Alligator mississippiensis: one gene and its partners. The protein of the gene in region 1 binds, or shares a complex with, the protein of each later gene. Links are inferred from orthologs where the notes say so. Each region holds a gene or a part of one and is shown in the gene's direction. Other genes may lie near its edges.

Region 1 (7,377 bases):
CCCCTGGCTGCAGGGATGCTCTGCCAAAAAAAAAAAAGGTTCAGGCCCCTTGCCGTAACAGTGACGGAAACCCTTAAATTGAAATGGTGGGTTTCAGTTAAAAACCCACCATTTCAATGTAGGGGGCATAGAATGCAACCCTAAGGACTAAACCCCCCTATATGTACAAGTGTCCTTTGTGTGTAGGGAGCTCAATACCTTCAATGACATCGCTCCCACAGTGTTCAAAGGAATCAGTAATAGCAGCTGGGAGTCTGCACATTGCATGAGCAGGGCAGCTCAGGCAGCCTATTCTTATCAGGGAGGGACAGTAATCTAGCCAGGCCTACCCATCTCTGCACCAACAGCAACAGCAAGGAGTCACTGCAGCAGCCTGGCTCAAGCCAGCTGTTATGCCAGGGCAGCTTTCCAAAGGAACTGCCTGGTACAGCAGAATACCTCGTGCTAGCCTCGTGGGAGACTGAGAGACCGGCCTCTTTGAATTTAATTCCACTGCTTTTCTTATTCTACAAATAAAAATCCACTATGACTGTTTTTTTGGGCCCTGGTTACAGACTAGCTGTACCTGTACAGTTGTCCTGTCAAGCTTCTTTGGTAACTTCCATGAGTTACTCCCTCCTCTGGGGAATGTTGGCAGCTCAGCTGGCCAGCAGTGGTGCTACGGCCTGGAAAAAATGAATCTGCACAAGCTTTCAATTGGGAAAAATAACTCTGGAATTTGGTGACCTCTCCCCTCCCTTCTATGCTCCAACTCATCTTTCAGGCAGGCGGGGGCAGGAAACCCTGAGCTCCACCTCACTAGCAGCTGGGCTGGGTATTGTGAAGTCCTTTTTTATAAGCCTGACCCCACAAACCAGCTTAATTCTGATTTGAATTGAAGGAATAACAATGGATCTGAAGCAAACCAAATTTCATTAATGCTGTCACTCTCTAAACTATGTGAGTCATTCAAACAAACTGCCCCTTTCTGGGAGGGTTGTATTGCTTTTACTGTCCCTCTTCCATGCGTTTTCTTAGTTGCAGCTGCCGCTATAGACACTGGAGGCCAGGGCAGTGATATGAAACTTCCCTTGGCTCCCACAGAGGCTTTGCCCAACCAAAGTCTACTTTCCTGGACCCTATGTATGTGGTAAGATTCAGGTTCAAGAGTGAAGGAATAAGTGTGAACAGCTGATAACACTTAAATGCGAGATCTGTACATGAGGAAAGCAGGGACAAAGTGAGATGGAATGGGTTTTATTGGTTGGCTTGTTAATTTTTTCCCCTGAACGACAAAAGAAACCTTTTGAAAGAGCCAGGGTTTTATTCTAGTGCCACCACCCTGTACTCACCCACGCAGCTCTCCTTCTAAATGGAATGTTACATTCGCTGCACCCACCAGGGTTTGTGATTCAGGCTGCAGAAGGGGTGAACAAAGCAGTCCTTGAAGGGTGGATCTGCTTAAAGACAGGTGAGGGCTGGAGTCTTTTACTGTTGTTCTTCACAAGACTGATTTCTGTGTGCAACCTCCACCATCAATATGATTGCACAGGGTGCACAGAAGTGAGCCCATAGCACTGATAAGTGCTGCACAAAGTGGGGTATACAAACCCCCAATATAGTAATAAACAGCTTGTGAGGGACCTGAGAGTGGTTGTTCAGAGAAGGACAGTAGCTATGATACCTACTGCCTGAACATCGTCTTTATGTTGATGTAATACTTCTCTATTGGGCCCCATTGCCCTGCTTCAACCAGTTTGTATCCTGCGTCAGGAGTGCCCTGTGGAAGGCCAGGAACCTCCTGTTGCACAGGCAAATGGATGTAGAGGTAGCAGGCTGCGTGAAAATGGCTCTGAGCGAACTCTAGACCTACTACCAGAAATCGGTAGTAGAGGATGGAGAAGACGCTGCCAAAGTCACCTGGCACAGAGACATGTGGCACAGGGTCATCCAACATCCCCCGAGTGGAGAAGGGGGCGGTGGCAGCAAAGAAGAGGAAGGGAGAAGCGGAACAGAGGACAGTGACCACAGCAGCGGGTCCTCTAGCAGGAGCTGGAGTGACAGCAAGAGAGAAGACACTTGAACTGAGTATGTGACCCTGCAAGAGGGGCAGGGATGGAAAGGAAGTGTTGCCTGGTCTGAGGGACCAGGATATGCTTTTTGTTTGGCGTGTGTTGCGCATGATGTGGATATTGTAACGGGTTCAGGTGGCCAGTGGGCCTTTGTACGGGTGCATGAGCGCGTTTTTTTGTAACTTGTGAAGGTTTTTTTTTCTTTTTGCGGTGTGATATGCGGAGTGTAGATATATATAATCTTAGAGAGAGGGAGAGGAAGAGAGAGAGAGAGAGATTTTTACAAAAAACAAACTTCTCTATTGGGTGCAAGAAGGCAGTTTTCCTGAGCCACTTGGCAGGAGAGATGCTCTTCTGGCTGATTCAGTACCCACCGAGGTGCAGCAGCTTTAAGCCCAGCATATGGAAATGGCAGTCTCCTCCCTTGCTTGCTCCCAGGACCTTATGGCTGAGGGCAAGCAAAACTTGAAGGTATCTGAACCCCAAGCCTCCGGGCTTGGGCCTGCATGTAGGATGCCCACCAAAGGTTTAGGAAACATCTGAAGCCTCAGGTGCAGGTGGAGGATATTTGCCGGTAGTAGGGTCATTTATGGTTCGACTCTTGGATTTGGAATTAGTTTTGGCTAATTTGGCCTTGGATACAAATTACATTTAAAAAAAATACTTCTCTATTGGGTATGCTGGGCTTGCTTGTGATTTAGCAAACTTTCCACATGACCTGGCAGCACAAGCACCCAATGGCTTGAGAGCCAGAACAGCAGAGGGCCTTCATTCATTGCATTACAGTATGTTGGAGAAGAGCGCAGAGCACTGACTGGGTTAGGATCCATGAATCAAAGCTTCAGCTGTTGGCTCCACCACAGACTTTGTATAATTTTGGGCAAAGCACATTAATGTCTCTTTGCCTTAGTTGTCTTACCTGTAAAATGTAGATCCTTCCTCCATCTTCTCTATTTAGATTTTAGGCTTTCCAGGGTAAGGACTATTCTGTACAGTGATTGGCACAATGGGATTGTGATCTTTAGGCAATAATGTAATTAACAATAATAGAGGTAATTGCAAATATCTTGTCATCTGGGACTGCAGGAAAGACAACAGAACAATGCATTATTTGTGGGGGCAGGGTGGAGAGACGGGAGAGGGATTATGCATGCTATTTGCATAGTAAACATTCAGTTTGCTGTTTTTCCTGGGTATTCTGTAGAGCATTGGTAGAAAAGATTCAAGGCTCCCTTCAAACATTTCGTACCCTGTCAGGAGGAAAGATCTTACATTTAATTAATGATCCTCCAGTTCCATTGATGCTTCAGTTCCCAAGGAGCCCAAGGTAAAATACCAAATACAGGAATGGCCCATTCCTTTTCAAGTGCAAACTTGTTCAGAGTAAAATGCAGAAAACAAAGGCTTCATATTCCATACAATCTGCATATACATCACATTTAGCATGTATCAGGGATGTCAGACTCACTTGACTCCCAGGCTGGTTTTTGAACTGTAGGGCTCCTCATGGGCTGGATCCAGGCTTACCTCTGGTGGTAGGGCAAGCAGCAGTGGCATTAGCCACTACAGGTTCCTGAGCCACATACACTCATTGTTTGCCCCTCCACTGCTGATAGATGTCCCCATTAGGACACTATGCTCCAGACTTTGGCGGTGGGCCCCACCTCACCTCCTTATTTCTGGCCCCTACAAGAGCCCCACAGGCTAGATGATATGGTTTCATGAGCCTGTTCTGGCCTATGTGCCATACCTTTGACACCCCTGGTCTTGACCATGAAGGCTTGTGTGTTGGTGCTAAAGTCCTTGGTTTTATTCCTGCTGACAACTCATGCCATTGTTCATGAATACGTGATGCACCATAGGGGATTTGAGCTGCTGAGGACTTCAGAATAAGTTTCCCTAGCAGTCAAAGTGTGCCTCGCAGTGGCTAAATGTGTTGTCCCCCCCTCTGACAAGCTGGCACACAGGGGCAAATTAAGAGCCTATGGCTGCTCTTCCTGACAACTAAGTCAAATGGCAGAGGTCCATGCTTTGGAGCAAAAATACCCCAGGATCTGTTCCACAGAGTGGGGATTATTATATTGGCTCGTGTAAGCTCCCTCTTTAAGGGAATGAACCTTTCTAAACCAGACAAGCTGCTTAAGAGGCTATGGTTGGGAGCGTCCCAATGAGGAGGATTCTGCCTTGCAAGATACACTGCTGGAAACAATAGACTCATCCGGGCACCCTGCCACTGACTCAAATCACAAGAGGGGCACCAGGAAGAAGCTGCATCTTTAAGCACTAGCCACGCCTGCTTTCACTGTTGGGTTTTTTTTGTTTCTCTCCGATGAATCACGCCCTGGTCTGGCTCCACACACTGCTGCTGCTGCTGTTTGCTTTAGGTCTCAGATGTCCCTCTGCTGAGCAGCAGGAAGGCTCGCATTTTTATGTTACCCGCAGAAGCAGCAGCAGCAGCAGAAGGCAAACATGTCTGGTATTGCAGCTAAATTAGCCAAGGACAGAGAAACAGCAAGGGGCTTAGGCTCCAATGAAAAAGCCATTAAATACCTCAATCAGGACTTTGAGACTCTGAGGAAGGAGTGCCTTGAGGCTGGGAAACTCTTCCAAGATCCATCCTTCCTTGCAGCTGCCTCCTCTCTGGGGTACAAAGAACTGGGACCAAATTCATACAAAACTCAGGGCATCGTATGGAAGAGACCAACGGTAGGATAATGGGCCCTGTGGGGAGGGAGAAAGGGAGATCAAAGGTGAACACCAAGTGATACAGTTACTGTATGTGCTTGCTTGGCTGAAAGCGGGGAGGTTGCAGTGATCACAGTGGGAATTGCTGTGGGTGGAGAAGTCAGGTATAATGGACCAAATTGGGCAGGACTGTGTGGAAATAACTCAATGCATTGGAGAATCCAACCTAAGTCTTCAATCTTGTCTCTCTCCCTAGTGATGGGCCACACCCAAACCAACCTCTGGCATAGAACTACCCCAGGCTTGGGTCTGGATCTACATTTATTATCTTGGGCCCATTTTTAGCAGGATAAGTACTAAATCAAACCTGACTGAGTGATAGAAAATGTTGTCCTGAAACAGAGGCTGAGAGTTCCCTTGTCTTGAAGGGCCCCCAGATAAATAGCAGTACTTGATTGTGTGCCATGTGCAGCTATCGCTGGAGGAGAAATACAACTTCTCTAAACTGCGGCACGCCACAGTGAAAACCTAGCTATTGATTGCGAATGTTTCCAAGAAAGTACAGTACTGACTTCTGCAGTAGGAATGTGCTGCCAGAGGACCCAGGGAGGCACTTGAGAGGTGTGTGGTGCTGTCACACAGCCAGGACTTGAGCCTGGAGATGTAGGAAATTAGGAACTCCATGATGTATAGAAACAGGCTAATCTCAGACGCCTCAGAGGTTTTGTTCGGATTTCTCCAATGCTCTTTGTTATAGAAACCTAGTTGGAAAGTTGGTAGGAAATTTGGGACTCTTAGGACTTAAATACTGAGGCACAAAAATGAAAATGAAGATTCAGTGGATTTTTTCGAATTGTAGCAAGATTCAGTTCAGTCTGAGCGAGCACCTAATTTACTTCTGAAGGAGATTTAAGTCAGAGCAATTGCTGAAGTCAGTGGAGCTACATGGGTAAAATTGATGCGAGTGGAGAATCACTCACAAACTTCTTATTTTAGTCGACTGCTTTGCTCATCCTGAGCTCAATACAAGTAAACATTTTTTTCCCTGTAAACTGGAAGCCAGTAGTTGAAGCCAGCCAGTTATGTTTATTTTCAGTGCAAGTATTCCAGGAAGTGAAAGGCATGTAAGAAAAACCACATTCATTTTTCTCTGTGCGCCCTCAGTGCTTTCCTATATATATAGCGTTGCATGTGCACACACATCTAGTGCAGGGACTTATACTCTTCTAGTGCCAGCCGGCTGTTTTGGGATGTGAGTCGATCCATTTGTCCACATTTCCTTCTTGACTATAATTTGTTTGGATACAGCTGGTGTAAGTAGGTATGAATCTGTGCCCAGCTCTTGCAAATTATCCCTGCCCTGAGCACCAAGCTCTGCACTCCCATAGGTCTCTTGTAAAATATACCTGTCAGGTTTTAGAAGTGCTGCAACGGGCTTTGCCCTTCTCAGAACTTGTACTTTTCCTGTGCCCCGAGCACTCGGGGTTGCTTGTGCCACCCTCCATTTTCTAAGTCACCATGATTTCAATTCAGTTTTCCCAGTCACACTGCCTTCTCCACCCCAACTTTTGAGCTATGCTTCCCTCTGCTTTTACTAATATAGAAAGGCAGCTGGGCAAACCCCCACCCCTTGCAAATCTTCCCCCAACAAAAAAACACCACAACCTAGTAGTACCCCGTCCCACCATGTTCAGCGCTCCTCCTCTGCATTTGAATAAAGCTGTGTACATTTGAATAAAGCTGTTCTAAGTGTCAGTCAGAATTCTGTGCCTTTGCAAAGGCCCTGATTTAGCCTTTGCATAACACATTTTAAACTCAAAAGAATTGCAAACAGGAAGGAATTTGGTCCAAAGACCATTGAAACAAGTCCAAGAACAAATGGAAAAATCTTCAGAGGCAGGAGCCCGATAACTAGAAAATGCAGTCAAAAGGCACTTTTGTGACAGGGCTGGTAGCCTAGGGCATTGGCGAATTCTATTTCTTCAGGAAGGAAAAGAATAAACTTCACCTGCTGTTTTGCCTTACAGCCTAAAATTCCCGGATAAACGTGTTTGCTTTGGTACAGGTCACAACCCATGCAGGCATTACATTTCTACCAGGAAAATCTTAGCTGTCCTGGTAGAAACCATGAGCATATAGGCATTCACAGAGTTTCTCCCAAAACAAAAATGGTGTTTCCAGGAGAAAAAATAATCCATCTCTGATTCTGTAGAGGTCACTCCTGGGAGGATTTCTCCCAGGGAATGAAAGCCTATACACTTCACTGCCACCTGACTCCTTCAGGGACCAGGAGGGACTGAGCAGTGAGGAAACACTTCCTACATCTAGACCAGGAAAGGCAAGGGAGCAGCTGGTGCCTGCCTCCTCCTAGTCCAAGGAGTAGTCAAGTAGTGGGGAAAGGCTCCCTGCTTTCCCTACACCAGGGTTACTGGGAGGGGAGGAACAGCTGCTGCTTTCTCCCTACCAGCTCTCTCTCACCAGGGTCCCGGTGTGAGGTGTGGGCATGGGACTTTGCCCCATTGCTCCAGTACCCCTGGGAGCAAGAGAACTGGAGCAGTCATTGCTCCCTATGCTTTCCCCAGACTGGGATCACCCTGGTCTAAGGAAGGTGAAGAGACAGGGGAGAGGGGATGGTTGCAGG
Region 2 (7,496 bases), on another chromosome or scaffold:
TGCTGCCAGGTGGGCAGGGTGCACCTCACCTTGGTGGTCAGGGTGGTATGGCACTTCCTCCTATGCTAAGTCCTGCTCACTGGGCTGTGGAGGTAGCTCCTGCCCAGACCTCGTCCAGCCAGGCTATGACCCCATGCCCCACACCTCGCTGTGGGCACAGAAATCTGGCAGAGCACATGGTCCCCCCCTGGCCCCTGCCACATCGTCTATGCCTCTATGCTGAGTTGCCTATAACCGCTACCCTACTTCTGCCTCCCTCCCACCATGTTGCCTGTGCCCCCCTGCCCCTCTACACATTGTCTGTGTCCTCCCACTCCTGCCTGCTTAGACTTACCTGGAAGGAGCAGCTCTCCACCAGACTGCCTGGCTGCCACGTGCATGTGTGTGTGTGCACATGCACATAGCACTCCCTGCCCCCTGCATCCTGCTCCCTCCAGCTCCAAGAAGCCCCTTGCAGACTGGAACTCTGCCAGCCTGCAAATGGAAACCCACAGTTTCCTGCATTTTTCTTCCTCAAAGGAGAAAATCTGCGCTTTTCTCCTTCAAAGGAGAAAATCTGTGTTTCCCCAAAGCAAACGGCAAACCCAGGTCCCTGCTCATGAGTCCTGACTGGCCTAGGAGTAGGGCCAGGGCCCAGAGAAAAGGGCCAAAGACTAGGAGGTCACAACTGGGGACCAAGGGGGCCAAGGTACTTCTAGTATGAGAGGGGTGAGAACTGGGGCTGGGATCACATAGCCCAGGAGGGGCACGTGACACTCATTCCTCCTGACATATGCTAGGTGTGAGTGTGGTGTAAGGGGAGGTTGGAGCCATGTAATTAGCCCTTAAGCCAGTAAGCACAGAAACCTAAATTCATGAGATGAGATCAGGCTTGGGAAGCCCTGGGGCAGCCTCCCTTTTTCTAAAAGAGAATAACATCAAGGTGTGGCAGGAGAGAATACCCAAAGACAGCCAGACTACACAGTGGCTAAGAGGGCTCCAGGGGCATTGCAGCCACCCCTAGAGTGGAACCCTGTTACAATCAGCATATGAAAGAGTTTCTAGGTTGTATTTGCTTGCAACAGCAAGGGATTAGATTTAATCATCAGAACCTGTCCAGTTATAAGCATAGTTAGGGATACATAACTGTACTTAGAAAATATACATTTGTATTGTGCATATAAATACTGTTTTACCCAAACACATAAACAAACGTATGAATACCATTTTAGTTATACAACTTTGGAGGTAGGTTGAGATCTATTTGAGTAACTATTTAATGAACTGGAAGGCTCCATGGGCTCTCTGAGAGATGTCTGACTATTTACATACACATCTAACTTGTCAATGGGATTGCTCTAATGCTTAGTTAGGCATGTGCCTAAGGGATTTGCACTTACATTGACCACTCATCAATAATTGATAGGCTAATGACCTCAATTATTGGGGTTTCTCATAGTCTTGCCTTATCACATGGTTTCAGTCCTAGAGCTCAAATTTCAGCTATCAAGAGCAGGGCAATACAGGGTGTGGAACTGAAGCAGGTTCTGTCCTCTTCCTGTAGTACTGTGCTAGCAGGGAGTATCCTATGCACTGCAGCCTCAGGAATGCAGTACAATCTGTTAGACCTGTTGCTGTGACCAGTTATTTTTTCGATGAGCACACAAAAGATTTATGTTAAATTCATATATTAAACTACTTATAGACATCCCCTCACCTTTATCTTCTCCTTTCCATCCCACCCACCATCCTATCTCTGCTGCATACTCAAGCTGTCTACAGTTTAGACAGGGCATAATTCTTGCTTGTGGCTAGTTTTTACTATGGGGTGCGGTCAGAAGAAGGCCCTCAGTTTATTTGTACATGGGACTTCCCTGTCGACCCCCCCCCCCACTTATATTTCCGCCAGTATGGTTTGGTTTTTTGTGGACTTTACTGACAGCCATTTTTAGCCTGATGTTTTACTGACAGTTGGCAACCCTGGTTAGCAGCAGCTTAACTGCAGAAGCAGGGGGTGAGAGAGATACTAACCCCAGGATCTAATTTAGATGGATTTGGTGCTGGAATGGTAACTTCTCCCCAAGACTTTGCTGGCAAGAGCAGTCCATGCCCCTGGCTGTAGGGGCTAGGTGCAGGGACATGGCAGCAGCAGCAGCAGCAGTCTTTGAGTCCCTGGAGTAGGTAAGACTGACCTTTTTCCTTTCTTTTCTCCTCCAACCTCAATTTCTGGTGCTCAGAATCTGACAGCCACCCAGGGACGTTTTGCCCAGTGTGCAAAACTTGTTAGTTATGCTCCTAAATGTTAATCAAGCTTTAAGACTCCAAGTGCCAAACTTCAGATCTGAGCAAGGAGGTTGAAGGATCACCCCAGAAGTTGGCAGATTGCTAGCTGTTTGAAGCAGAAGACCAGGCAGCTATTTCAAGTTAAAAGGGAATAGTGAGGCATTTCTGTTTTATTTCTGTATTTTTGTGTCCAGATCTTTTCCCTATGTTTTTCTCTTAAGCCCCTGCTACACATTACTTATATTATGCAATTAACTGGTTAATTGCCCAATAAATTTAGACTGGTCACCTGTGCAAAGCAAGACTGGCCACAAGTGCAAAGCAGTTATCACACAATTAACTGGCAAATGGCACAATAAATTTAAACTAGCTACATGTGTAAAGTACTAATCACACCATAAAAATGAGTCTCCACCTATAAAAAGAGCCAACCAGCTATAAAGATAGTGCTTGAAACTGTGTGACAGCTCTGTAGTTAGTTTCTATCTGGCTTTAATTTGAATGTGTAGTAGGACTTGCAGGCAATAAACCTGTGGTTTCAGGGGTGTAGGTTGTAGCTGTCTTGATCTAAGGACATAAGCAGACAAGGTTTTATCAGACCAACTCAAATAGTTGGAAAAATTCTTCTTAGTTAGCTTTTGGGCACAAACCCCCTTCGTCAGGCTGAGGCAGTATGTGCAGATGGTCTCTGCTTTTCCTGGATGGAGTGGTAAAGTGACCTCTTCATTCACTTCATCCAGGAAGAGCACAGACCATCTGTAGATGCTTCCTCAGCCTGGTGAAGGGGGTTTGTGCCCGAAAGCTTAAGAAGAATTTTTCCAATGATCTGAGTTGGTCTGAAAAAAGATTTTGGATTTACCCCAAGAACCTTGTCTGCCTATAAACCTGTTGTGGCCTTTTCCTTTTACATTTTGTCTCGAGAGTGATTCTGCAGCAGCAGCTGGCAGCAGCAGATGTTTTGGTCCCTTGGGGCCAGCAGACCTATTTTCACAAACCCAGGGAACCCCAAGGCCTTGCTGGATCTCCTTCACAAACTATAAGGTCTGGTCAAAGTGCCTGTGAGCAGTGACAACCCTAGAAGGGTGCAGGACCTAGGGAATAGCAGTCTGCATGGGACCTAGATGTGAAGAAGCTGGTGGTGGCAGCGGCGGGGGGTGGCAAGCAGCCGGACATGAAGCAAGTGGCGGCGTGGAGTCACTAGCACTAGGCGGGCCCTGCAGGAGGAGCCATGGCTGCTCAGCTCTGCGTGGGCCCCCCAAAGCATGGGGCCCCAGGCAGTTGCCCCGATTTGCCCCCCCTAGGGACGGTCCTGCTGTGAGATTGAGATGTGCTGGCAGGAGAGATCTCCCACGACCAAGAGCTGGTTCAAGCTCTAGCAACACAAAGCAGAACAGCGCGGAGACAGCCTGGAGCTGTGGGGTTACCCCACAAGTCTGAAGTTAGGGGCACGTTATGCTTGAAAGCTTGTCCAGCATCTTCCCCCAACTACTTTCCAGCCAATCCAATAAAAGGTACCTGCAAAAAAACTCCTGGCTTCTCACAAGAAGTTTTATGTCAGGATTTCCACTGGGAACTAAATCTGGAAAGTGCGCAAGAGATGTAAAACCTGAAAGAGTAACCCTCTCAACATCTTTTTTTTCCCTTCGAAGTCTTGAAAAGAGTCCAAGTTCGGTCTGAACTCTGGGCAGAGATCTAGTTTTCCTCCTGTTTTTAGAGTGATTTTGGTACTTTAAAAAAAAACACGGACATTTGGGGAGGTGGGATAGGAGGAAGGAAAAGCGATCTTCTCGGCAACGTTTCCCTAAAACTAGCCAAGATAAGTTTCTTTCCGAGGTGAGGCCAGGCCTAACACAAACCAGCCGATCGGATCCGACTTCTAGGTTGGTGAGTTGGGGGCGGGGGTGGCCTTGTGTCATGAAGCCGGAGCTTTGTCTCAGAGAGAGGAGGAGAAAGCAACAACTCCTGTCCCGTCTCTGCTAGCGACTGAGGCCGGCTCTCAGGTCGCCTAGCGGGGAGCTGGTGTCTTCGCCAAGACAAACCGCCAGCGGGCATCTTGCCCTCAGCCACATCCCTCCCCCCCCCAGCCTGGTGCGGGCGAGGCCCCGAAAGAGGAGTGGTGCGGAGCACCCGCAGGAAGAGGAGGGACTAGCGGGGAGCTCTGGCTCGGGGCGCATCGGAAAAACCGCTTCACGCCCGGTGGAGCCAGCCCGCCGCTTCCTCCTGCCTCGCTCCGCCAGCGCCGAGACATGTCCCAGCCGGGCCGAGGGAAACGGGGGCCCGCCGCCGCGCGGCCGCCGGGGGTGAGCGGAGCGGGGCGGGGCGGGGGGCGCCGCGGCGAGGGGGCGTGAGGCGAGCCCGGCGACGCCCCCATGCAGCCGGCGCAGGGCGTGAGGGGGAGGACGACCCCGGCCCGTGGGGCGCGGGCAGCTCCGCCCCTCCCCTCCCGCAGCCATAGCGACGCGCGCGGCCCCACCCTGTCCGTGCCCTTGCGCCTGCCCCTGCCCTGCATAGCTGTGTGAGGCGGGGCGGGGCGGGGTAGCGCCGCGCCGCCCGTAGCTGCAGGGCAGGGCAGGGCAGGGCGGGGTGGGGTGGGGTGGGGCGGGCCGGGGCTGGGCCTGGGCTCCGTGCTCCCATTGCGGCTCCAGCTGCGAGGACGATCCGGCGGGCGGCGATGGCTTTCGCACGCTGGTGGTACGCCACGGTAAAGACCCGGGCTGCGCTTTGCGGGCTGGGGGCGGAGGCCGCCGGGGCACACCTAGGCCGCAGGGGAGGCGGCTCCGTGCCAGGAGGCTCGCGATGCGGCGCGGCGCGGGCGCCTAGTGCCTGGCTCCGGACCTGCGCCCAGAGGAGAGGCCGCTCTCGGCTGTCTGGAGCCCTACAAAATGAGGGCTGGAAGGGACGTCGGGAGGTCTAGTCCAACCCCCTGCTCTCAGCAGGACCAGCCCCAGCTAGGTCATCCCAGCCAGGGCTTCATCTACTCGGATCTTCAAAGCCTCTGAGGATGGAGACTCCCAAGCTCTCTCTGGGTAGCCTGTTCCTTCGTCCTCTTGTCTTTCAAGCTAAAAGCCGATGTTGAGCGGGATATCTAGCAGCTCGGAAAGGATCCTGCGGCTCCAGTGCCACCGTTTTGTCAAGCGTAAAAGGGGCTCAGGTGCAGTTTTCTCTTCCCCCCCACCCCCTTTTGTATTTGCCATGGCTTGGTTTTGCCAAAGGTCCTGCACCTATTTTGGGTAGAAAACCTGTTAAAGTTGGGTCTTGTCTTTTCAGAGCCCATGAAGTCTCACGTGAGACTTTGGCAAAGACCTGTCACATGAAAAAGATTTGTCTTTACAAGTTTTGCTGCTGCTTTTCATAGCTTTATAACAGAGCTTGCATTCATTCTCTTTTAGCCCAAAACATTTGGGAAGCCGAAATAAATGAGAGATCTTGTTGTTAAGGCAGAGTTAGTTTTGGGTGGCTTTTTCTGAGTAAGTTCCTGCGTGATAATAGGCTTCGTAAACTTGTTCCTAACTGTGGGGAGTTCCTTGATCTACAATGACTCTTTCTATCTTTCTGGGACCTCCCTAGGTAAACCACAAGTTTTTGAGTTTTGGCATAATCTGTATTCTGTACTTAAGCATCCAATGATTACTCTGACTAAACCTTCAATTACATCTTCCAAAAGGCCTGCTTTTTCTAATTTGATGTCAGTCACAGAGGGAAGCAGTTGTAGGGTGTCTGTGCCATCAAACATTCAATTCACTAATTTCCTAAAGTAAAACCTGCAACCATTGCTGATCCTAGGACACATTAGATGTGCTTTGCGAAGAGTTTGCTGGAACATAAATATCTAATTATACAGTTATAACAGTTTTCAGCCTCAATCCTAATTGTGAGTCAGAATTCAAACCAGTTAGCCAGTGTCAATGAAAGGTGGTTAGAACTGTGAGTCCCGGTGTTGGGCTGGATGTTGGGTTGGCTGTTATAGCTGGATTTAGGTGCAAGTATTGCATTAAACTTTGTGCAATGCTAACACATGCGGTAAAATCCATACACAAAACTAGGAGGGTCCCTGCTGTCCTGAGTCACTGAGTTTTGGATCTAAAAGCAAGCAATCTAAAACAAACTAAGCATGTGTTTCAGGGTCAGAAAATCACTTGCACTCATGTTTCATGGGAAATCAATTATCAAAAATATTTGCATCACAGTACCCTTAATGACTCCAACTGAAATTGGACTCTTGTTGTGTGAGATATTGTGCAGTCCCCTAGTAAGAGAGAGTTCTTCCCTGAAGACCTTATAACTTAAGTAAGGAAAGACATACAAAACTTAGAAGGGGAATAAGCAAAAGGCATGAAGTAGTTGTCGTGCTGGGTTTTAGTTGGTAACTGGTTCAAAAAAGAACTGGGCTTTTTGAAGTGGATAATAGATTTTTTTTTTTTTCACTAGCCCCTTGCTTTGGGACTTCCTCCCTTTTGGGCTTATATTAGATTTGTTGTTTATTGGTTTCACTGTTAGCATGTTGTCCTTGAGCCTGGAGAACTTTTTACTTGGGTCACTTGTTTTTGTAAATCTTGTATATCTTGCTGGTTGAGAAAGTAGAGTTGGTGAGTGTGGCTACCAAAGAGCATGTTTTCTGGCACTTTCGTACGCTGTATAGAGCATGTTAAAGTGATGAAAGTCTTAAACTGAAATTGTACACCATGGGTATCTCTTCTCTTTGCCTACTTTGCATAAATTCAAGGTAAATTGTAAAATGAAAAGTTTAGTATTTTGCTTGCTGTATTTTTTTAACTTTATATATAGTATAATATAAAAATGTTATGGGCTAATGTTAGACTTCATCCAAGACATTAAAACAATTAAAACAGCTGTAAGTTAGGTGTTTGCTGTGTCCTCCTTTGACAGAGTTGGAGTTTATGAATACAGTATATAACCCTGATTAAGAGGCTGTTTATTGCATGAATATGTTGGTATAATATGGAAAGGCTGGTTCAAGGTAAAAACTCACTTGGCAAAAACTAGAGGGTTGTAAAGGGAGGATGTGGTAGATATTAGTTCTGAGGACTCTGGCATTGGTATCCTGTTGAGCCTACTAGGCTGTTTTTGACCTGAAGGGCTAAAGCATGGGGGCAGAGTTAAGAACAAGATAAGGGTACTAAAAACAGCATTAACAAGTGGTCTCTCTTGAGTGAAAGGAACCAGACTAATGACAGAGATCCTGATTTTCTCTGTTTAAAAATTGCAAATTCTCT
Region 3 (7,917 bases), on another chromosome or scaffold:
TCTCCTACCAGCATAGCACCCCCTCTGCCCCCCCTCCATGCCCCCAGCATAGCACCCCCAGGCCTCCTCCCCAGCACAGCACCCCCTGCTTCCCCCCCCAGCAGAGTGCCCCCTGCTACCCCGGGTTCGGTCCCCGCCAAGCTGGCCGGTCTGCGGGAGCTGGAGCTCACAGTAGCCCCTCAACCACACCACATGGGGGGGGCACAAGGGTCTGTGGTACACCCCCTTGATCCCAGCCCTCCCCCCCCCAGCTTACCACCATGAGAGGCCACTCGGAGGCAGAGATGTACTGGTACACGGGATGCTTCATCTGGACTTGGACTGGGGAAGGACCGGGGGGCAGTGTTATTATTGGGGGGGCAAAGACCCCAGCCCCACTTCTCTGCCAGGGATGCGGCCCCCCCAGCAGCAGACCCATCCCTCCCAGCTTCCATAGCACAGCAGGCTCACGCCCCCTCCCAGCACTTACTGGAGATCTCCCAGCCGGCAGGGGGGGGTGGCTCCTCGCTCTTCCCCTTCAGTTTCAGGATCAGCACGTAGGGCCCGTCGTCCCACGTCCTTGCTGTGGTGTCCACCTGGGGGGGGATGCAGAAGCCCAAGTTACCCTCCGGGGTGGGGTCAGGGGGGCATAGAGCCCCCCCTGGCCCTCCCCAGAAGCTCGGCACCCCAGCCCCCAACCTTGGATTTCTCCTGGGCTCCAGACAGCGCCACCTTGGCCTCCCCACGGCTCTGGTTTCGCTTCCCTATCATGGCGGGGGGCTCAGTTGCTCGAGTGGGCACCAGCTTCTGCCCTTCGACCTTGTCCTTGGGGGACTTCTCACCCTGGGGGGCCAGGGCTTCCCTCCGCTGAATGCCCACGGGCTGCTGGAGAGAGAGAGAGCGGTACCTTTGCCTCAGTTTACCCCACCTGGAATCCAAGCTTCGCCTCACCCATCCACTGGGCGGTTACAGCAACATCCACGCATGAAAACAGCTTGTATTCAAGCTGCCTCATTACCATATTTCCCCGTGTACCAAGTGCCCCCCCATAAGCCCCACCCCTTGTTTTTGGAAAGCAGCACAGAGGGAAACGAGATGTTTCCAGAGGCACAGCCTGGTGCCACAGAGGAAGTTCTCCTGGAAAGACAGAGCGTCCAGGAAGCGTGTGGCATCCCACAAGACTGGCAGTAGACACTTCCTGGACAAGGGAGGGCTGGGGGGAGGGCAGTGGTGCAGTCGTACCCCGCTCTGATTCCTGCCCCAGCCACGCTTGAAGAGCAGCTGGTTGGCAGAGGCAGTGGCTCATAATCCTGATTCCTACTAATCCTTTTACCTCCCAGGGGGTTAATGAGGTGCTCACACAAGACAGGTGAGCGGTACATGAAGAATTACGGTAACGTAACGCGCTTCTTCTACTCAGCCCCTGGCTGCCCAGAGAAGCAACTTCTGCACTAAACCCCCCTCCCAGCGAGGCCCCTGGTCTGCCACAGAGACATGCAAAAGGGGGGGGGGGGCAGCATGGGAAGATCCTGCCCCCGGGACTCCCTAAGGGGGAGAGTCGTTAACAAGGGGGTAAAGCCAAGACCCACCTTCTTCCCGCTGCTGGTGCTTTCCTTCAGCTGAACCCTCTGGGCATGCAAAGCAAACAGGGGTGTGAGAGAGGCCCCAGGGCAGGGATCCCACTGCTTCCACCACATACATCAATGCTGCAGGGCGAGGAGGGGGGTGGGGGGTGCACTGGCCTAGGTGGGGGAAGCTGAGGCAGGGCAGGGAGGAGCTGGGGCTGCTTCCCAGTGGGGGCCAGGGCCCAACGGGTTTAACATGAAGCTGGTTGAGGTGAAAGAAGAAGCCTGGAGGAGCCCCCAAATGCATCCCATGCATTGGGCTCCCCTTCAAGCTCTGAACAAGCCTGACCCAGCTTAGCTTGGGAAGCCTGACAGGCTAGGAAGCTAATTACAGCTGGCTCGTTAACACCCAGCCAGCACCACTCCCACCCCAAGGGCCAGAGGCAGCAGGGAACAAGGCGGGAGGGGGGACGCGGGCAGGACTCGGACACCCGAGTTCCCTACCTTGGGGTCACTGTAGGGCTTCAGCCGGGTGGGGGAGGGCAGTCGCTCCGTGCTCAGCTGGAGGAAGGGCACAGAGGCTCGGTGAGAAGAGCAGCAGGTGCCGGGGGGGGGGGCGGTGTCGTCCCCCCGCCCCCCCCACGGCCAGGGACCCCCGCCCCCCCGGCTCGGCTCTCACCTCGTGGCTGGACATGTGGCTGCAGTTGAGGAGGGGGAAGTGATGGAGCACGTACTGCCCGGCCCCCCCTGGCACCAGCTCGCGGTCGGGGTTGGCCAGGTAGAAGCCTGCTTTGTTCTCCTGGGGGCGGGGGGGAAGGGTGTGAGACGGGGGTGCAGGGAGAGCGACCCCCCCAAGCCCCACCTCCCTCTGAAAGAGCCCGGGAGTCTTCCCAACCCCCCCCCCCCGACCCCGGCCGGGGGGCTCACATTGAGGGCGACCTCGTCGTGACAGCGGGAGCTGCGCAGGTACCAGGTGACGTTCAGGCTGAGGCCGTGGGGGCAGGACAGCACCACTGTTAACGAGGGGCTGGTCAGTGACCCCCCGCTGCAGGCACCCCCCAACCCGCTCCCGTGCTCTGCTTTCTGCCCCATCCCATGCTGCTTCCTAGCCCCTGCTCTGCTTTCCGCTCCCTGCCCCTCGAGGCGCCGGCCGCAGCGCTCACCCTTGATGACGGACTGGTCGAACATGGTCTTGGGGAAGATGAACAGCCGCTCCGTGAGGTTCTGGGGGCAGAGACGGGCAGGATCAGGCCTCTTGCTCGGGGGGGGGTGGGGGACGGACACACGCACACACTCCTGGGTCCCATTCCCAGCTCTGCTCCACCCCGCCGTGTGCCTCAGTTTCCCCCACCAGGATCTGGCCCTGCCAACAACCCCCCCAACCCCCCCCCCGCAGCAGGACGCCTGGCTTGGGGGCGTATCGCTGGGCAACTGGAGGCTACCACCCACTTATGCAAATGAGCCAGCAATAAATTTGCATGTTAAACAGGCAGTGATCTCCCCCAAAGATATGGTAGAGAAATTTCTGACTTCCCACAATGCCCTGGGGCAAAGCAGGCTTCCTGCTGTCTCTCCATTCCCACATCTATAGGGGCCTGGGACAGCCCTCCTCCTATAGAGCCCCTCCCTCGCAATGCAACCGGGACCCTCTCTATACGGTACGGAGAGCGCCTATATGGGGCCACGTCCGTCGGTGATCGAAGCGAGGGGTCCTTGTCTATAGGTGAGTGGGGGGGTCCACTCCTATAGCAGACTGGGGGAGTCCATGTCTACAGGAGACTGGCAGGGGGAGTTCCTTATCTATAGGGGATGGGGGGGCAGTTCCTTGCGTATAGGGAACATGGGGGGTGTTTATGTCTATACAGGATAAAAGGATAGTCCTCGTCTATAGGGGACTGAGATAGGAAACCATCTTTGTCTATAAGGGACCGGGGGGGGGGTCCGTATCTGTAGGGGACTGGGCGGTGTCTATAGGGGACCACGCACAAGGTAGATCCTGATCTACAGAGGGATCGGGGGATGCACGTCTATAGGGGACCAAAAAGGGACCTATATCGATAAGGCACCAAAAGGAGGGGACGTCTCCATTAGGGACCATGGGGGGGGTTGCCTATAGGGGATGGGGGGGGTTGCCTATAGGGGACCAGGAAGATCCTTCTCCATAAGGAACTGGGGGGGGTCCATGGCTACAGGGGACCAAGGGGCAAGTGCCTGTCTATAGGGGAGGGGGTGTCTCGTGGGGGTCCAGGTCTATAGGGGCCGGGGGGGGGCTAGAGGGGAACACCCTCGCCTATAGGGGCCGGCGGGGGGGTCGCTCCGGGTCGCGACCCCCGCCCCCGGGGCCCACGCCCACGTGCGCGCTTGTGGGCGGGGCCATGTCGCGCCAGGCCCCGCCCCGTCGCGCCAGGCCCCGCCCCCGGGTGACTCACGAGGGTGGCGCCGAGGTCCCAGCGGCCCGGCTCGGCCCCAGCCCCGCGGCCCGGCCCGGGCAGCGCCAGCGGCAGCAACAACGCCACGACCCGCAGCACCCGGCACGGCCCCGCCGCCGCCATCCTCTTCCGGGCGCGTCACGGCCGGGGCGGGGCCAGCGCGGGCCACGCCCCCTGCTTCCGCCGGGAAAGACCCGCCCCCGCTTCCGGCGATAAGCTCCGCCCACAGCCCCCTCCAGGGACCGGCGTCAAGTGCGGGCCGCGCCGAAGAGGGATGCCAGGTCCGTAAGGGACCGGGGCAAAAGTGCCGCCCCGGGGGAAAAGCGAAGAGCTTGCCCCCGCCCCCCTCCAGCGGGCCTCAAGGGACCGCGGCAAAGTGCCGGCCTGGCAGAGGGGCCAAGACCCTTCATTTTACCCTTATTTTACCCGTCTTTAGGGACCGGGGCAAAGAGCCCCCCCACAGCCCGCCCCTGCACCCTGATGCCAGGATCGGGCCCCGGACCCCTGGGGTCTCCCCCCCCACCCTCCCCGCCGTGCCTCAGTTTCCCCACGTGCCGGGACTAAAGCGATGCCCCCCCTTCCCCAGCTCGGGGGCTGCGGCGCGGGAAGGGTTAACGCTTTGCCTCGCAGACCCCGCGGGAACCGACCACGTGGGCGATGACGCACAGCCCCACCCCCCCATGCCAAGTGGCTGAGTCAGAGCCCCCCCCCCCCCCCTTGGGGGGCCCGATCCGGAGTCCGGCCGGGTCTGCTCTAACCACTGGCAATCCTCCCCCCCCCCCCCCCAAGTCCGGCCCGCGGCAGTGTGGGGGGTGGGGCAGGACGCCGGGTGCCCGGGGGGCGGGGCGGGGCAATGGGGGGTGGAGCCGGACGCCGGATCCGGGAGCAGGGCCGCGGGCGCTAGGACCCGGCGGCGGCGTGATTGGCTCGGGCGTGGCAGCCCCCCCGCCCCCCGCACGGCCCGAGCGGAGTCGAGCCGAGCCGTGCTGAGCCGAGCCGAGCCGAGCCGAGCCGCGCAGCCCCGACCCGCAGGTACGCGATCCCGGGATCCCTGCCCCCCCACCCCGCAGTACTACCCCGCACCGGATCCCCCGGAATCCGGGGGTTCTCTGCGCAGTGGATCCCTGGCCCCCCCGGATCCCCCGCCCGATCTTTCTTCCGGGATCCCCCGCTTTTGCTCCCCGATCCCCGCCTCCTCTCTGCACGCGACCCCCCCCTATCCCCAGCATAGAGCCGATCCTAGTGGATCCCCCCCCGGCACCCTCCTGTTCTCCTGTCGCACTGGATCCCTTCCAAGGGATCCGCCGTTACCCGCACCAGATCCACCCCATGGCTCGTGGGGGGACGGGACAGACCCGGGGATCCGCTCCCCTCTCTCCAACGGGGGAGGGGTGGCAGGGATCAACCCCCCCCCCCCGGCCTCATGGCGGGGATCTAGTGATCCCCTCCCCCCCGCCGCTCCCTGCAGCCGACGCCCCGAGTCATCCCGCCCTGGGCTGCGGCTGCGGCCGGGGCGGAGCTGGGCGGACGGGATGGGGGGGCAATCCTGGATCGGGGAGGCAGAGGGGGTCCCGGAGCCCCCCCCCAGCACCGACAGTGTTTTGTTTCCAGGAAACGGGGCATCCTGCCCCCCCCCCGCTGCCGAGCAGGGCTCTAACCACTCCTCCCCACTCCCCAGCCCCGGTGCACCCCCCAGAGAGCCCGGGGGGCCAGGCCGGCGGAGCTGACCGGTGCCTTTGCCTTGCAGCCGGTGCCCAGCTGAGCCCAGCGCCATGTTCCTGGTCAAGAGCTTCCTCGGTGGCGGCGGCGGTGGAGGAGGAGGCGGCGGTGGCGGCGGCGGCATCGGGGGCAACATTGGCAACGTCATCGGGGGGCTGCTGAGTGGCGGTGGGGGTGGGGGCGGAGGCCGGGGCGGCGGCGGTGGCGGAGGAGCCATGAACTTCCTGGGGGGAGTCATCAGTGCCATCAGGTGAGTGCTAGAGGGGGAGAGCCAGGTAACGTGCACCCATTTTCCAGGTGGGAAAACTGATGCATGAGGCCCAGCAATACCCCCCTGTTGTTCAGTTGGGGGGGATGGGGGACTGAGGTACGGGGCAGGACAGCACTTAAGCCCAACACCCTCTCCCCCCAGGGGTGAGGGGGAGGCCAGCCTGCGGACCCCCGTTCAACGTGGGGGGGGGCTGAGACCTGGCAAACTCATGGCAGGCCTGGCTGGAGCCTGGCAGCTGTTCAAGGAGGGATTTCCTCCTCACCCCCCCTCCCCCAGCTGGCAATGAAACGCACCCATTTCTGGGGTGGGGCCTGGCCCGGGGCTAGGACTGTTCCTGCTGGCTACCCCCCAGGTCTCTGGGTGGGGCTGGGTTGGTTTCAGCATGGGGGGGCGGGGGGCTCCGGTCCGCTGAACAGCCCCACCCTGCTTTGTCTCGGACTGGTTGGGCCGGGTGCTGGGATGCGCCCGCCTCTGGGGTGGGCCCTTGTGGCTGGTTGCACGGTGTTCCCCCCCCACTTGGCTCTGAAATGCGCCCACTTCTGGGGGGAGACTCGGCCTTTCTGCGCCCAGCACCAGGACCCAATCCCACTCCACCCCTCAGACCGACCGGGTCTGTCATGCCTCAGTTTCCTCTTCTGTCTCCCCCTCTGAACCTGCCTTGTCCGGCGCCTGAGGCGGGGGCTGGGCGTGGGGTTCATGTCTTCCTTCCCCCATGTAGTTTTCATCCTTTGGGGGAGTCGGGACCCCCCAGAGCCGGGCACAGCCTCTCTCCTGCTGTGTTTGCACAGCTCCGAGTGCGGCGGGAGGGGGCCCGATGCTTGTTGTAGCCATGGGGAAACTGAGGCATGGGCCTGGTCTCTCCTCACCGCTCCTCTCTCTCTCTCTCTCTCTCTCTCTCCCTCTCTCCCCCCACCCCGCAGTGAAGCGGCTGCCCAGTATAACCCAGAGCCCCCGGTAAGACCCAGTGACCTGCTGTGGACACGTGAGAGATGGGGTGGGGGGGGGTCCACCGGGGTCCTGGCATGTCTTGCCTAATGTGGGGGGGGGGTAAACCTGCTGTCCTGAGGACCCAGCCATCCTCCCCCTGTGCCCACAGCTGGGCTGCAACGTGGCGCGTTGTATGCGAGGAGGTACGGTAGGATGCAGGGTCCCTAGACCCCCCCCACACACACACAAGGTCCTCGCTACCGTATCTTCTAGTGTACCACATGCTGCCCCCCTCCCCCTTCCACATAAGACCTGCTCCTGATTTTTGAGCCCACCCGAGGCAGGAGCCTGTGAAATAGGAGCAGAGAGACTAGGGGCAGCCAGCGCCCCCCACCCCCCAGTTTTAGAAGGAGAATTTTTAATGAGGGGTGTGCATGGTAGGCAGGTAATTACAGTAAAGACTGGGGCAAGTTAAAAGGGGCTCAGATCCAGTGCACGGCCCCTTTAACCCCCTGTGGGGGTGTTGACCCCAGGCCCCCTCCCCAAGACCTTGACATCAGTGCCTGAAGGGATTGGGGGGGCGTCTGCGACCCTTTGGCGGGTGGGAGCTAGCCCCTCGTGGGCTTCATGCATCCCCAGGCAGGGGGAGAGATGTCCTGACACCCCCCATTGCCCCCGCAGCCCCCCCGCAGCCACTTCTCCAACATCGAAGCCAATGAGAGCGAGGAGGTGCGGCAGTTTCGGAGGCTTTTCACCCAGCTGGCTGGAGATGTGAGTACCTCCCCGGGCCCCCGCAGCTATGGGGCCCAGATGGACCCAAACCATCCCACAATCCTTTGCAAAAGGCTTCCCCTTCCACACCCTGCCGGGATGCAGCTGCTTCTGGGGTGGAGCTGGGCCCTGGGTTACACTGGGCAGCTGAGTGCAGCTGGGGGGGTGGGGGGCACTGGGGCAGGGGGTGACCCCCTTCTGCCCCCCCGGCAGGACATGGAGGTGAGCGCCTCGGAGCTGATGAACATCCTCAACA

What was found.
Region 2: the proteins of CAPN2 (region 1) and CAST are in contact, whole or in part, in a crystal structure (PDB 3BOW), measured with the Rattus norvegicus proteins. The link is inferred for Alligator mississippiensis from reciprocal best matches to the Homo sapiens genes CAPN2 and CAST. Residues at the interface, in NP_058812.1 of Rattus norvegicus: Glu62, Leu63, Ser68, Lys69, Gln99, Gly100, Ala101, Leu102, Gly103, Trp106, Lys161, Asp162, Leu165, Leu166, His169, Ser196, Gly197, Gly198, Thr200, Ser241, Asp243, Ile244, Thr245, Asp249, Ser250, Glu251, Ala252, Val253, Val259, Lys260; in NP_445747.2 of Rattus norvegicus: Glu571, Leu572, Asp573, Ala575, Leu576, Asp577, Glu578, Leu579, Ser580, Ser582, Leu583, Gly584, Gln585, Arg586, Gln587, Pro588, Leu596, Asp597, Asp598, Lys599, Val600, Lys601, Glu602, Lys603, Ile604, Lys605, Ala606, Glu607, His608, Ser609.
Region 3: the proteins of CAPN2 (region 1) and CAPNS1 are in contact, whole or in part, in a crystal structure (PDB 1KFU), measured with the Homo sapiens proteins. The link is inferred for Alligator mississippiensis from reciprocal best matches to the Homo sapiens genes CAPN2 and CAPNS1. Residues at the interface, in NP_001739.3 of Homo sapiens: Ala2, Gly3, Ile4, Ala5, Lys7, Leu8, Ala9, Arg12, Glu13, Glu16, Phe60, Arg366, Arg416, Arg417, Arg418, Arg420, Asp494, Ile516, Phe551, Glu575, Lys578, Val581, Asp582, Asp585, Gly588, Ser589, Gly590, Gln641, Leu642, Gln644; in NP_001003962.1 of Homo sapiens: Thr85, His86, Ser88, Asp111, Asp112, Met113, Glu114, Ser116, Thr118, Asp142, Arg145, Ser146, Ala149, Val150, Met151, Asp152, Ser153, Asp154, Thr155, Thr156, Gly157, Gly160, Phe161, Glu163, Asn206, His208, Leu209, Met212, Ile213, Arg215.

Annotation. Positions count from the first base shown.
Region 1 is NC_081824.1:181,599,510-181,606,886, reverse strand, and holds the start of CAPN2 (calpain-2 catalytic subunit), read left to right. Parts: upstream 1-4,375; 5' UTR 4,376-4,520; coding exon 4,521-4,757; intron 4,758-7,377. UniProt on the Homo sapiens protein: Calcium-regulated non-lysosomal thiol-protease which catalyzes limited proteolysis of substrates involved in cytoskeletal remodeling and signal transduction. Proteolytically cleaves MYOC at 'Arg-226'.
Region 2 is NC_081826.1:238,529,100-238,536,595, reverse strand, and holds the start of CAST (calpastatin), read left to right. Parts: upstream 1-4,403; 5' UTR 4,404-4,508; coding exon 4,509-4,562; intron 4,563-4,859; exon of another isoform or gene 4,860-4,933; coding exon of another isoform or gene 4,934-4,963; intron 4,964-7,496.
Region 3 is NC_081838.1:1,007,802-1,015,718, forward strand, and holds the start of CAPNS1 (calpain small subunit 1), read left to right. Parts: upstream 1-4,895; 5' UTR 4,896-5,005; intron 5,006-5,720; 5' UTR 5,721-5,745; coding exon 5,746-5,942; intron 5,943-6,883; coding exon 6,884-6,917; intron 6,918-7,571; coding exon 7,572-7,661; intron 7,662-7,874; coding exon 7,875-7,917. Other genes in the region: transmembrane protein 87A, read right to left, coding at 257-321, 470-575, 679-864, 1,569-1,607, 2,049-2,105, 2,224-2,343, 2,472-2,557, 2,708-2,768 and 1 more. UniProt on the Homo sapiens protein: Regulatory subunit of the calcium-regulated non-lysosomal thiol-protease which catalyzes limited proteolysis of substrates involved in cytoskeletal remodeling and signal transduction. Essential for embryonic development.